Linked DNA regions of Rhinolophus ferrumequinum. The protein of the gene in region 1 purifies or fractionates together with the protein of each later gene. This does not show direct contact. Links are inferred from orthologs where the notes say so. Each region holds a gene or a part of one and is shown on either strand. Other genes may lie near its edges. The genes, in order: RAB11B and PI4KB.

The links.
Region 2: the proteins of RAB11B (region 1) and PI4KB purify together in Homo sapiens (co-immunoprecipitation; 3 studies listed by BioGRID and IntAct, with this or other methods). This does not show direct contact. The link is inferred for Rhinolophus ferrumequinum from reciprocal best matches to the Homo sapiens genes RAB11B and PI4KB.

Annotation. Positions count from the first base shown.
Region 1 is NC_046301.1:57,209,958-57,217,384, reverse strand, and holds the start of RAB11B (ras-related protein Rab-11B), read right to left. Parts: upstream 3,254-7,427; 5' UTR 2,659-3,253; coding exon 2,619-2,658; intron 1-2,618. UniProt on the Homo sapiens protein: The small GTPases Rab are key regulators of intracellular membrane trafficking, from the formation of transport vesicles to their fusion with membranes.
Region 2 is NC_046305.1:51,330,209-51,338,373, reverse strand, and holds the start of PI4KB (phosphatidylinositol 4-kinase beta), read left to right. Parts: upstream 1-5,101; 5' UTR 5,102-5,541; intron 5,542-8,165. UniProt on the Homo sapiens protein: Phosphorylates phosphatidylinositol (PI) in the first committed step in the production of the second messenger inositol-1,4,5,-trisphosphate (PIP). May regulate Golgi disintegration/reorganization during mitosis, possibly via its phosphorylation.

The DNA.
Region 1 (7,427 bases):
GGGAAGGCTGGGCACAGGGTAGCGGGCGAAAGGATGGCTATCCCCTTTTCTCCTAAAGGGATCCCCACACCAGGCAGCAGGGCCGGGGAGAAAGTTGGCCCTTGTTAACCCTTCCGGTGCAGCTGTGCCTTGGACGTCTCTCTGACATCCGGGCCTGACCCTCTGCAGGCCACAGGGTCTCGGGAGGGGCCAGAAGGGCGCAGCTGTCACGTTTTTGTCCACCTGACATATTTATGGCAAGTGAGGTGATGGTAGCGGCTTCCTTCCTCCCTTCTTTTATCTGACTTTTTATATTTGACTTTCGATACAAAGTCAAATAAGAGTTTATTTTTCCCATTTAAGGAAGTGAAAACCTGAGTGAATATAAAGACAAACATTACGGGATAACAAGGGGGTCCTCGGACAAGGTGTAACTATGAAGGGGAGGGCTCAGAGGATCCCAGTTAGGGGAACCCTGACCTTGTGGATTAGATTTTCACTTGCAACCCGGCTTGAGAAGGTCAGCAGGGCACCTGCTGGACTCAGAAAGGGAGGCCAGTGGGGTAGAGCTGCAGGGCAGGCGGGCACCCTTTGCCAGTTGTCCCAGAAGCCAGATTAGTGTTTCCAGGAAGTGAACTAGAGACAAGTCCTGGGAAGTACACAGCTGTTCCACTGCCCCTGACCCAGTAACGGTACTTCTGGGAACACACTTCAAGGAAGTAACCCAAAGGGTAAAAGATGAGTAGTGCAAACATTTGGAGCTGGGTTATTTATAACAGCACACAGTTGAAAATAACAAGCAGGAATGGCCACAGAAGCCTGCAGGGGGCAACTGGGGGAATGCCCCCTGCCCTGGCAATGCCACAGCCAGGCAGATGCCCAGCCCTGACCTGGGAGCAGCTGCCTCAGGGCAAGCTGAGTAGAGACAGGCACCAGCTGCAGCAGGACTGGAGTCCAAACCACCTGTCACCAGTCCCAAAAGCCTTGACAGAGCTTCCCCTGCTTCTAAGGTGACACCACAAGACTCAGTCAGCACCACAGCCTTGGCCTGAAGCCTGCTGACCACACAGCCTTCTCTGCCAGTGACATGTCAACCCGCAGGCATTCCCAGACCCCACAGTGCTGTGCGAGGACTCTGGGCTTTTGCATGGGCACCCCCTTTGCCCAGTAGCCTTTCAACACATGGATGTCCCAGGTAGGGAGTGCTCCACTCACTCTCCACAACCCCAACGTCCCCAGTCCCCAGGCCCCAAGATGCTTGATGGTCAGCCGAGGCTAGCTCCAGACACAGACGCACTCCCAGGGATGGCCAGGATCCCCTAGCGAGTGGAAGATGCCAACAGCTGGTGTGGGAGGCAGACCCTCACACAACAGGCAACAGAGCAAACATACCCTGCATGGGCCCAAGAGTTAGCTCTCAAGGGCGGCCGCTGTCACCCAGCACGGACAGCAGAAGACCTGGCAGAGGTCCAGCTTGGCACAGAAGGTGCTGTGAAGCCAGTGACCCTTAAACCAGCCCAGTTGAGAGACGGACTCCAGTGACATGTGGTGAGTCTCCCTCGCTGTGAGGCAGGGTGAAGGAGCTCTCCCGCTGGCCCCAGGCCAGCAATGGCTGCCTGACCTACCTAGGCCTTACTTGAGGCTCCCAGAGCCCTGTGTCCCTCCGGCAGGGAAAATCATCCAGCAGGTTGGCCCAGACCTGAGGCATCAGCGCGCAGATGTTGGGGGAGGCGGTCTGACAGCCCACTCCGTGATCCGGGTGCAAGCTCCCCCAGATACACTCCTTAAGTGGTAAAGCCCACAGCTGGCCTGGGTTCAAATCCTGCTCCAACACTTATTCACTGTGTTCTTCTCTTGTCTCCCTGGACCCCCGTTTCCAGACTGAATAATACTGACCTCACAGCGCTGTGGTGAGAATTTCAATGAATTCAGGTGTGTAAAGTACTTAGAAAAGTGCAGGTACTTTGGGTAGTGCTATTAAGAGTTCTAAGAGCTGTGAGAGATAGAACAACAGTAACGACCAGACCTGGGTCCAGCACACACAGTCCCCTCCACCAGGCGCCCCTCCATGGAACCCCGGGTCCGCACCCCACCCTGTGTCCTCCACCACAAACCTCAACACACATTATCCACCCCTCCCTTCCGGGCTCCGCCCCCAGACGCAGTCACCAATCAAGTCTGCTCCCGCCCACCCTCTGAAGAGTAACGCCCCAAACGCCCAGCCCACTTCTTGGACACGCCCACCACGCCTCAGCCCCGCCTCCAAGGGCCCCGCCCGCACCCCATGGAGTTTTCCACCCAACCCGGCCTGACAAACGCTAGGCGGTCCCGCCCCCTCCAGGGCTCCGCCCCTAACGGCCTCTCCCACCGCGCTCTGGGACCCACCCCCTCTGGGCTCCGGCCCCGCCTCGGCGCATCCAGGGCCCTCAGGCCTCTTTGGGCCACCCGCTCGGCACAGTGGCGCACCAACATACAAAGCTGATCGAACCCGGGCTGCCCCGGTCTTCCCGGCTGCTTGACCCGCCGGGCCCCAAGCTCCGGGCTCCGGCCGAGGCCCAGCGGCCTGGAGGGCAGCTACGGCCCGCCTGTTCGCCGTCTCGCCGCCGCCCCCTCGCTCGTCTGTACCCCAGCGGCCTTACCTTTGAATAGGTAGTCGTATTCGTCGTCCCGGGTCCCCATTGTCCTGGCGCTTCCGGCGGGATCGGCGACTCCGCAACCCCACCACAAACACCCTGCGGGGGCGGAGCCGGTGCCGCGCAGAGCGGCTGCCAGGTGGCCAATCAGCGGCGAGTGGCGTAGCGACCGGCACCCAGAAGAGCCAATCAGAGGCGGAAACAGAGCCCCCGAGGTGGGCGCAGACTGGGATCCACCCTCCTTGCCCTCGGTCTCCTGGAGAAAGGCGGAAGGAATGCGGACTTTTCTGAAGTGACGGTCGCGTCATCCTATCAGAAGCGGACTCAGGAAGCGGAAGACTGGAAGAATGAAACAAATTGACGGAGCGAATAGCCAATAAGAGGCTTGATTCAGACCGGGCCCGACTAACGGAGGACATGTCCAGGAAGGGAAATGGAGCTACGTCCAGGTGATGTTACGCTATTTAACGTCCCGATGACGTCATAGGTCAATGTGTGCCGCTCTGGGCCCCCTCCCCCACCATAATTAATGACCGTTTCCCGGGGTCCTCTGCGCGGCGTCTTTTCAACCTAGAGGTCCTCCTCTGTCCGTTGCAGTTTTCATTCATTTGTAAGTGACTCATTATGTCAACCCACTGCCTCAGTTTCCCTCTTCTGTATAACAGGAAAGAAACACCTCATTGAAATTTTTGAGTATATCTATGGATCATTTACCTAAACGTACTAACTCAACCATCCATTTTCTGTCATTAAGTTTTTGTGTAATAAATATTTATAAATTTTACTGAGCGTCAGACTTTGTCCAACATGATCTCCCCTTCTCTGTCCCTTACCCTGTTTTATTACACACGCGCACACACACACACACACACTGCCCTAGGATTTATCACTACCTAACTTTAAAGTATGTATTTCTTTCTTGGTCCATTAATCTGTTTAGTTTCTGTCCCAAGTCAACAGAATCATCAGTCCCATGAGGGCAGGGACTTGGGCACAATCACTGCTGCATCCTCAGTGCTCAATAAATATTTGATATGAAATAGATACCGTAAGCATACAGCTCATGTGCTAGTTATTATAACTGTATTATAATTATTATTGCCTCCTGGACCTCATCCCTGGGACGTCCATCAGGCGTCCCAGACACCAATTTGGCCTCCTTCCCCCTTTTCCTGTTGTCTTCATCCCGACTCCACCCCATCATCAAAGCCACAGGTCATGTGCTTTTCCCTCTTCATCGTTTACTCCCTTGTCCCTGCCTCCCACCCCCTCTCTCAATTGCCATTTTCTATCTCTCCTTCCTCCTAAATTTCTGACCAGTTCTCTCCCCTTCCCCTGCCACCATCCTGATCCTGGCCCCATCATCACTGCCTGGACCTGTACAGTTGCTTGCCTACCTCCAGCAGTCAGAGGGTGTCTTTTAAAACATGAGAGTCAGCACCTGAAACTAATAATAATAATAAAAAAAAACATGAGAGTCAGATCGTCTCCCTCCCCTGTTTAAAAATCTTTTAATCCTTCCTTTAATAAGCATTTACTAAGCACCTACTAACAGCGCTCTAGGTGCTGGGGATGCACCATTGAACAAGACAAAATCCCAGCACTCATGGAGCTGACAGTCCAGTAGAGTCAGGAGGAAGAAGCAAGTAAACAACACTCACAAGATAATTTCAGAACGGGAGGCATGTAATGAGGGGAATAACCTGGTTTATGTGATGGTGGAGCTCCTTAGCTAGGAAGGCAGGGAAGGCATCCGGGAGGAGGTGGCATTTGCTCTGAGTCGCAGGTCGGTGTGGAGTTAGTGGTAACAGCGTTTCAGGCAGAGGAAACAGCAAGTGAGAGAGGAGAGCCTGATGGGTCTCAACAGCTAGGAGGCCATCCATGGTGGCTGGAGAGTGGCGTCCAGGGCCCAGACACGAGATTAGGTGAAAAGGCAAGGCTGTGGGAACCAAACCAGGGCAGATCCTCAGAACTTTATCAGCAGGCTCCTGGGCAGTTGGCTTGAAGCCAAACCCCTCCCTACCCCACCACCACTCACCACCCAGCTGCCTGAGAACCATGCTGCAGCCAGGTGGTCAGTGCACTGCTTCCCCAGACAGAGCTGCACTTCGGACCCAGGCCACTAGGCTTTTGCTTTCAGTGTCCTCTTCCTGGAATACCATTCACCGCCCCCATTTTTGTAGAATTTTCATCCTTCTTTGTAAACCATACTCAAGCCACGTCGACCTCATGAAGCCTTTTCTCCTATCTGGGTCACGCTCCCCTCCGGCCCCACCCTAGCATGATGGCCTAGTAAGGATGGCTAATGTTTATATTGGGTGCTCACTGTGAGCCAGACACTGTTCTCAGTCTTTTTCACATCATGTTCCATGAAATCTTGAAATCCTCACAGCACCAGGAGAACAGGAATGGGTGGGGGGCAGGGTAAGGGTCGGGTACAGAACCCCATCCCTATTTTCCAGAGGCAGGAACTGAAGCCACAGAGCTTTAGTGGCCTGTCGTTAGTCACCTAGGATACAGATGTGGTTAAGAGCTCCAGCTCTGGAGTTGGACAGGTCTGGATTCACATCCTGGCTTTTGTTTGGTTCCCAACCATGGTGGTTATTCTTTGTGTTGTTCCTGGGAGTGGAAGGACAGAAAATGCTGGGTTGAAAGAGATGGTGATGGCCGGAGAAAGGACAGGGTAGAGAGATGAGCCCTCTTGCAAGAGCGTGAGAATTAGGAGGGCAAAGCTGGGTGGGACTCCCCACTAGTTCCAATGGGGCTTCCCAATAGTTCCAGTGGGCTCAAGGGAGACTTTCTAAGCCTGCCTGGTACAGGACACCCCCAACAAGGAGCCTGGAGAGGATCTGGCCTATAGTCGACCCTCTATGGGCTGAGGATGTCGTCGTCCATACTCAACCAGAGCCCCCGGGAAGCTACAGTGATGCCAGCACCTTCCAGGAAGAGTCATGGATCACCTATCTAGGGAAAGAGGCTCCCACTATTTCTCCAAGGAGCACTTAAGAGGAATAGTGGAAAGATAGATTCTCCTATTAAAACAGCAGCTGGGTTCAGGGCACAGGCAGAAGCTTTTTCTCAAACATGTGTCCTGGACACAAGAGATCACATAATTCCAGGCTATAAGATATGGGAGATAATTTTAGATGGTGCGTTGAATAACATTGTGTTAGGTCAGCTATGGACATGGTCAAAGCGGCCAGGAGCCAAAAATACCCCTCTGTCAAGTCAGACCCGCCCCCAGGAGCCAAGTCATGCCCCTCTGCCAAGTCAGACCCCTCCCCGCATGACAGACACTGAGGCCCCTGGCGTTTCAGCAGACCGCTGGTGTGATAAGCAACTCCGGACACAGCCGCTCGCGCCCGATCTGTGCTGGGGGGGCCTGCTCATCTGCCACCTCACTCAGCCAACCCCCACCCCAAAAACCGCACATATGCCTCCCTCCCTCGACCCTGGGCGCGACTTCGCCCCGTCTGCGGGACCAGTGAACCTCGCCGGGGAGCGCAGAATAAAGAACTCACTTTCCTCAACCTGCCTGACGAGCCTCATTATCTTGCCGCAAGCCTTACACATTGAACCACAAACCGAGAAAGTCCTACCTTTTCTCAATTCTTAAAATCCTTTATTATCTCTCCAGGAGAGAGGCTTACTCTCTCTGGCTCATATCTCTTGAACAATTTTCTAACCCTCATCTCCCTTTTAAAACAGAACTGGGATGCAGACTGAGAGCCTGCAGTAGGCAACAGAATCAGGCTAGAATTTTCTTACCCATTTACTGTGAAATGTTTAAACACTTAGAAAGTGGAAAGAACTGTACAGAGGATATCTCTGTACTCATATCCCCACCAGTATTTTGCTTTGTCACATATCTACCTCTCTATCCACCCATCCATCATCTTGTTTTTTGATACATTTCAGAGAAAGTTAAAGATTTGGGGGATCTAATGTATTGCACAGTGTTTAGAGTTAATAAGAGTTGCTAAAAAAGATCTTAAATGTTCACACCACAAAAAATAAATGGCATTGTGTGATGTGTGGACGTGTTAGCTAATGCTACTGTGGTAATCATTTCAAAATACATAAATGTATCAAATCAACGCATTGTAAACCTTAAACTTACACAATGTTAATATCAATTATATTGTAATAAAGCTGGAAAACATTAAAAATAAAACAAAGAAAATTGAAGGCATCAGTTGTCTTCACCTCAACACTTCAGCATGCATTTCGTTAGCTAGACTTCAGTATTTGTTTATGGCTCTTTGTCTCTTTTCTTTGAAGATAAAATTTACATACAATGAAATGCACAAATCTTAAGGGGATGCTTGCTGAGACAGAGGCATACACCGGAATAATCCACCTCTATTAAGGGTCAGAATATCACTGTAACTCAGGAAATTTCCATCATGTCCCCTCCCAGTCAATCCCCACTCCACCCTTCCAGGGGCAGCCACTACGTATCACAGATCAGTTTTCTAGCTGGTATTTGAAATCATTGGCATTGTTTTATTTTTGACTTTAGTTTTACTAACCTGCTTATGGGAGGTGATATTGGTTTCTCGTATGTGGTGGAGCTATGTTTACACTTTTAAAAACTAAGTCAATCGGTCCTCATATGCCTGGGAGCTGCTTTATACTGTCATATGGCTTAACTATTAACAGTACACTCCCTTTCACTCTTAAGTGTCTCAGTCTGGACAATCAATTATAGGTCACCCTATCTGTAATGGCAGGGGCTTTAACAGTAAGTTTGGGACTTTTCTCTCACTAGAGTATTCCAAGCACTTAGTACAGGGTTTGCCATGTAGCACGTGC
Region 2 (8,165 bases), on another chromosome or scaffold:
ATGAGTTACGTTAGTAGTAAGCACAGAGCTGTGGGAGCCCAGAAGAGTAGCACATAGGTCAGACAGGAATGAGGGACAACTTCCCAGCAGAGATAAGGAGGCGTTAGCTGGATAAGTCTAACTCACAAAGCAAGAACAGAACAACGTAACAGTTCAATCTTGATCCTCATGTGTAAGAGCTGAGTGTAAATTCAGAGAGTTCAATTTGGGCAGCAAGAGGAGGGCATTCCAGGAAAAGCAGGGGTTTGAGGATGTGGGATGTATTGGTTTGGCAGTACAACCCCGTAGAGAGTCCTGTCCGACAGAAAGGATGTGTCCGACTACTAGTGAGAAATACACTAGAAGAAGAACACACACCATTATAATTATCTGTTGACTGAATGATGTGTGAAAGGTATAAAAATTGCATTAGAGGATGAAGGAACTGGAGTAAAGAGGAACCAGTCAGGCAGCTGTTGCCATTATTCATGTACCATGTTTTCCTGAAAATAAGACCTAACCGGAAAATAAGCCCTAGCATGATTTTTCAGGTTGACAGCCTCTGAACATAAGCCCTAATGCATCTTTTGGAGCAAAACTTAATATATACAAGACCCTTATTTTTGGGGAAACACGGTAGGAAGAGATGAGGGACTAGACCAGACAGCTGACACATTAGAGGTGATGGGCATATGGGAAAATAAACCACTGGTGATAGGATAGAAGCACCCAAGGAAGTACTGTCCTCACTGTGATGGGGTGATGGGGATGTTTCCATTCACTTTGGGAGAACGGCACTGGATGACTTTGAGATTTACGTGAATGTTATGGCGAATGTATGGCGTTTATGTGAATGTTATAGCCTATTTAAAAACTTACTCTATTTTTAAAATCTAACGTGAAACAAGTTATGCTGTAATTCAGGCAATCTTTAGCTCATTAGATGAAGGGCTAAACTAAGATTTTGGAGACGGTCTACTGCTCCTCTGCCATTCCTTATTCTGTCCCCAATACCCTGTTCCCCACTTCTATTACCTCCCCACCCCGTGTCATCTTCTTTTATTTTAGCCCTATCATAAATGAAGTTAAGCATAATTTATAATTTACTAAAATCTGAAATAATATTTTGCTATTAAACCAAGACAAACTATATGTCTAGTCTGTGGTCCCAAATAAATGAATTTATGGCTTATTTTTGTGGATAACAATCAACTTTCTTTAGAAATCAAAGCAAATGCCACATTCACATTAAATGGGCAAATTAATGTCACTATATATTTGTCTAAGTGTTTCATCTCATGTTACAGTTCCTAGTAGGTCTACTCCTTTGCCTAGGATATTCCTGCTGGCTCCATACAATGAGATAAAGCTAAGTATAATATACATGTAATGCAGTATTTCTTAAATGTTCACAAGGAGGCATTTGTTTACTGGAAAGAGCATGAATTTGGTGTCAGTCTTAGCTTGACCACTTTCCATATGATTTTGAACATTTATTTAGTCCAGTTTTTTTTCAAACTGTAGATTGCAACCCATTAGTAGGTTGTGAAACTGATTTAGCTATTGAAAACTATTGAAAACTATTTTTAAAACTATTTTTAAAAAGTGAGATGGAATAGAAAATACCAGTGCTTTGCATATAGTAAGGGTAAGTATTGTTTCATGAAACTTATCTCAGTGAAGACATGTCTATGTGTTCTTCAGTGGTCATGATATAAAAGGTATTTCTTATGGGTTGAAGTAAAAAAATTTTGAAAGACAATGTCTTAACTATTCTGAGCTCAGTTTCCATAAAATGTGATAAAATCTCTTTCACAGGGTTAAATGAAGTAATGTTTGTACAAGGTGTGATCAAACAATCTGGTGAATGTTTAAATTAAAAAAAATTCATTATAGTAAAAGACACATTGCCATTAATTCTCCTCAAAACATTCCCCCTCGCCTCGAACACACTTATCGCATTGTTCTTGCCACTTTCTGAAGCAGTTCTGGAAGTCCTCTTTTGTGAGTGTCTTTAGTTGCACTGTCGTGGCTGCCTCAATGTCCTGAATCATTTTGACATTGGGGAAGAGCCAGAAGTTGTACAGTAACAGATCTGGTGAATAAGGTGGATGAGGACACATCGTAATGTTTTTGACAGAAATTGCCAAACCAGAAGTGATGTGTGACACGGAGCATTGTCATGATGGAGGATGATTTATGGCACACTATACAACACACCTTCTCTCAACTGTAGCTCACACCCGACTGACTGCACCGAACAAGTTGAAACTTGTCACTCACTGTTACTAAGGTTCCACACACCGCTTCCCGTATTGAAGATCCCTGCCTTTCCGTTGGATGGCACTGGGCAGCAGCATTCATCGTATTTTGTTATCACAACGGAAAGGCTCCGTGTCACACATTGCTTTGGTACAGCAATTTCTGTCAAATAAAAACATTGCGGTGTGTCCTCATTCACCTTATTCACCAGATCTGGCACCATGTGACTTCTGGCTCTTCCCCAAAGTCAAAATGACCATGAAAAGTAAATGTTTTGAATCGATTCAGGACATCGAGGCAGCCACGGTAGCACAACAATACACTCATGAAAAAGGACTTCCAGAATTGCTTCAGAAAGTGGCAAGAATGATGGGATGTGTGTGTTTGAAGCAAGGAGAAGTATTTTGAGGGGCATTAATGGCAATGGATCTTTCACTATCAAAATTTTTTAAAATATAAACACTCACTGTATTTTTTGATCACACCTCATATTCATACACAGTAGGAGCTTGAGTAATAACTGCTAGCTTCTTTTTTTCTAATAAAAAAAAACCCATGGGAAAAAAATCATTTTTTATAATTTCTTTAACCACAGGGATGTTTAAAATATAACTGGAGCCGTATTCTGACTTGGGTCCTCTAGTTTTACGAGCTTTTGATGCATAAGCCAACTTCTTTCTCCAATTTGATGAAATGTAAATAAGATAAATGACATTACCTGACCCTGTTGGTACTTTCCTGGTGCTATATCAACAAAATAAACTTTGACCTGTGGCAGAAACTAAAGGTACAGTTAAAATACAAAGATGAATCCTTTCTTGCCTTGAGGAGATCAGAATAGAGGGCCTGGGAGACTCGTAGAAACAGAGAGTAACCAAAACACAAAAGTTAAGTCAGAAAGACAAAAGTCATAAAGACATACAAAGAAATTCACACATATGAACTCTTAGAGCTAGAAACACAACACTTGAAAGAAACTCTTCTACTTAATACTCTATGTATGGGAGGGGGGTCTCTGTTAACAAAGGACTTATAACTGCCTATAGCTATAAGAAGTTGCTATTTAAAGTTTGACCAGAGATGTTCCTGAAATGTTTTTGTTTTTTCTTTTTTTTGTCATTGGAAAATAAACTTCCTACTATAAAAAGCAGGGCTGTCACATCCCTTTTTACAATGTTTCAAAAAGCTGGTCTTATGGCCCTTTGGAACCCTACCCCTGGAGAGGATGTATGAGTGACATTTTTAAACTAGGCTAAAGCAGGGCCATCACCTCTTGATACTTGCCTGACAGCTGATTGGGAGGTGGCCAAGAGCTGCTGGTCCTGACAGGTGGACTGGTGACTCCCCACTCCAGATGGGTGGTGACAAATTTAAACTATCTTTGGCACTCTTGGCCTCTTTCTCAGCTCATCTTTCATTACTGTACTCCTGCTTTAACCTAGCTTATCAGCTTGCCCTCTCCTCTTGATTTGAGCAAATTCCCATTTCTACTCTTCAGCATACAGTTTTTAAGCCTCTCCTCTTTTTATTTTGTTCTGCTGGATCATATCCAATAAATCTCCTAAGACCTAGCTCACAATATTTTTGAGAAGCCTTTCATTCACTCATTCGCCATATACTGAGTGGCTGGGCCTTCTGGATTAAATAACCATACTCCTCTATGTTCCTTCAGCAATTAGGTACCCTATTTGTTTTACTTTTGCACATATGACGTGTTTTACACAGCTATTTTCATACTATTACCTTTATTCTGCCTCCCAATGAAACTGAAGCAGTTACCCTCTTTTCATCATCTATATTATTGTCTCAATAATAGTAATATAGTACTATACATAGTACTAATCTGTATTTTAATCCTCCCAAAACCCTGTAAAGTGTTAAGATTCCCGGGCCCACTTTTCAGACATAGAAACTTAGGTGCAAAGAAGTGAAATCAGTCACCCCAAATCAGCCTCAGGGAAGGTGGCATCCAAGATCTGGGCTCAAATAACTAACCTCAATGTAAAATATTAAATAAAGCCCTGCGAAGGTTGGGACAGAGGTTACATTAGGACAGAGGTTCTGACTGACAGAGCTCCCAATCAATAATGCGAACTGGCAAATACACAAACCAGCACCAGAGGTCCATTTGCAGGGTGCGTTTTTATTTGTTTAATTGTACGTGATGTCGTTTGGAAGGAAGGGTTGTGCCGTCCAGGCTTTTATCATTTCACTCACTTCTCCCTACCTGGCCCGGTCCTGCCCCTCCCTGGAGGGATCGAAATCCAAAGGCTGGAGGCCAAAGGCTGCCCAGACAGGTGGTGACCTCTGAGGCAGAACCGCGGCCTCGAGTCGCACCGCTAACGGCGAAAGATTGACGTGGTTGGACCGCGCCATTCCCGAAGCGATAAGGGACGTAATCACGGCATCGTCCTTTAAGTGAATAGGAAAAGGGTAGTGAGGGTGACTATCTTCCCCGCCCACCCTCTCTCTTCCTCCTCTCCCCGCTGGGCCCCCAACGTCCATTCTACGGCCTGATAAATTACTAAGGGAGTCGTGTGGAATAGGGGTGCGGGGGAAAGCCACTGACTGCAATTGCGGTAACTCTGTAGGTAACTCAAACGGACTTATTTACATATAATTTGCATGTACTTATAGAAGTACCCTATATATCCGTACTTCTAACAGGGCACCCACGCCCACCTACCGCACTCTGTTCGAGGACGGGAGCCCTAGCCCCTTATCCAGCAAATTTCACTTCCCTTTCGGCTTCCTTAGCCTCGCAAACTCTCTTAGGCCCGCCTCCCAAACATTGGCCCCGCCTCTCACACGTAGGATCCTCCCCTCGTACGCCACTCCCTCCCCAGTTTCCAACCATCTTCCCCGCCCCCTTTTCTATTTCTGAACAGGCATGTTCCGGGCAGCTCACCCGCCTCCTTAGATTACTATGGGCTCGGCAGGGTCCTGAGCGTCGGAGGAGCACGAAAGCATATCCCAAGAAGAAGGGCTTGGACTCAGAAGAATCGAGCCCTGCTGGGGATTTATATTTTTCTTTCTTTCTTTTTTTTTTTTTTTTGGTCGTGGTTGTGCGGAGAGAGGAAGAGAAGGCTGTGCGGCCCGGTCGAACTTGAGACAGCGCGAAGGCCCCTTCAGGCGCTGCCGAGGGCAGCCCCGCAGCCGGGGCCTGGTGCAGCCGCCGCGGCCGCTGTCAGGGAAGCGCAGGCGGCCAATGGAACCCGGGAGCGGCCGCTGCTGCTGAGGCGGCGGTGTCGGCAGCCCGACCCCGACCGCCCGCACCCCCTCCGCGGAGGTCCCCCGGAGGTAAGCGACTCCTACCCCGGGAGTCCCCCTCGTGTGGGTCCCTCTCCCACCGTGTCCCGCACGGCTCCCCCCCGCCCCCACACCTGGATTCGACTACAAAACTGCCCTCCCGGTGGCAGCTGCACCCCGGGTCCTTCTCCACCGTGTCCATTCAAGCCTGGGGTCCTCCTGTGCCTTTTGGCTTCCTCTTCTGTTTAGCTCCTCCCTCTGCCCCGGGGATTCCCCCCTCCCTCACTCTTATCCCTGCTGCCTCCGTCCCGAATTATTTTTCCTTAAGTCACGAACTCTTTGCACATCAGGACACCTCTTAGAATGTCCATTCTTGGTTGTCCTTCCTCGTCGTCGGTGCTCCTGCCCCAAACCTTTCCCATGACCTCCGCCTTTACCCCTTTTCCTATTTTGCCCCTTTCTTCCAGTGTCTCTGCAGCCTCCGCGCAGAGTTCCCATTTCCCTGAGCTAAAGACTGGGGCCCTCTCTTCCTCTGCTGCTTCGGATTCCATGACCTCACCGCCCCCCACCAAGCTCCTCACTTCCAAGAATTGCCTATTCCCCTCTCCTTAAAGGATCTCAGCGTCATTCCCAACGTATCCTTCGCATTCTACTTTGACTTTCATCCTTGCTCCTCTTCTCTGGAGTTCTTTATGACCCCTGGAACTTGCTTTGGCTTCCCTTTATCCCTCCCTAATCCCCCGACCTCTGGAGGTTTGTCCCTATAGAAGTGAGAAGATACAACAGCACCCCTTCCCGTTCAGCACTTCCAACTTTGACACTTTCTCCGTCGAGTTTCGAGAACTTTGCTGATCCATGGGACACTGGGTTCTGTTTTCCCCGTGGTCTGTCTGTATTCTTTCTGTCACACTCTTTTATCTCCATGTACAACTCATTTCAGGATCAGCTAAACCTTGAACTAAGAAGAAAATGTGTTGGGAGGACGGGGAGCCTAGCTGTGTCATTCAGGCTTTCCTGGACAGAAGAGTGTTTCTGAAGGATGGAGCAGGTTTTGAAGAAGTCCCCGATCAGATTACACTTTGTTGTCTACTCAGAATCAGTCACTAGTGGAGGGGAAATGTCCTGCATGGAAACTAAGTGAGGTTGTGAGAAATTTCCTTTTGGATTATGTAATGTTAGGCTTGTCTTAAAGGGGTCACAGAATAGAGGGTCCTCCCACCTCTGGCCAGATGCAAGAGGAATCAGCTTACTAGAATGGTTTTGGTTGATTCCCTGAGAGCTTAGGGCTGGGGTGGGGTTGGGGGGTGGGTCACTGGAAAAAGGATCAGGAAACAAGGGAAAGAGCTTGTACATTCAGAATCAGGACTCCTGGGTCCAACGTGTGACTTGCACGCTTGACCTCTACAGTGACCTTTTTGGGAAAATGGTCCACTCTCTAGGCATCAGTGCAATAATTGGCTAATAGCAGGGTGTGGGGTGGGGGTAAAATTAGACTGTTTGTTTGTTTACAACACACTCTGGGTTTCTCAGACGAAAAGTATTTATTAGTGGTGGTTTAGTTATCCTGAGAATTCTCCTTCGTTCTGGTCCCTCTGTTGGGTCATTCTAGTCTATAGCCATGGGCGTAAGTCAGTTTGAAAGACAAGCTCCAGGCCTGCTTCTTTCTTCCCACTGCCTTAAGGTGCTGTTCCGTTCCTCTTGCACTTGACCCATAACTCCAGATTCCATAGGTGGAAGTATGTTTGTGGGCAAGCCCTTTGAGGAAGCTGGCTGGAAAAGAGAACTCTGGAGTGAGATGGGACTTAGGAAACCAGTTGCTCCCTCGTACGCCGTGTCTGTCTCTCGGCCTGCGCTGGCGAAGAGGGCGTGTGAAGTTCCATTCATCATCTGACTCGGGGCCTGTTTGAAAGTAATCCCACTGCCTCATCTCACTTGCCCTTCCTAGTTGGCCAGAGCGTAGTCTACTCAGAACCCCCCTTTTTAGGAGCAGCTTCGCTCCTTGGAAGCACCCCCAAAGAGAAATCATATTTCCCTAGTTCCCCCGCTGCCTTCTCAGAGCTGGGTCCACACCACAGGAGAACATGTTTGCTGGACACTATCCAAAGCAGCGAATTGAGATTCTTTGATTTGGGGAGGAAGTCTGGAAGAAATCTTTCCGTACCTGGCAGGGGACAAGAGAGGGCCTAGTCCAAGTGCATTTGGGGCTTGCAGTAGGGAGGAACAGTTCAGACAGAGGTGAGCCGACAGGTTGCTTTGTCATCTGTCTGTTTCAGCAGAGGCTCCCAGAGCTGGCTTGGGCTGTCTGGCTGGAATCTGCTTATACCAGCTCGATGGCCTTGCACAGAGAATTCTCAGCCTAATTCAATATTGACTTAACTATCCTGAGACCACTGCCCTCCCTACCCTCCTGCTGGTAGTTGAGAATGCCCTCTCTCCTGGTGTCAACCCCCCTTGGTGCTTTGGGTACAATTACCTGGTTCCCGGCAGGGCCTGAGCCTGCTTGACTGCTTGGCCCTGTGTTTCTCCAAGAAAAAAGTGGTACTCAATCTCCATCGTCACCACTGAGGTCGAGGGGGAAAGATGAGCGAGGTTGGAGATAGACTTTGGGACTTGAGGAGGGACCTGCTCAACAACTGAACAGGCAGCCTCGGGTGACGGGGGGAGTCTCTTCTGAA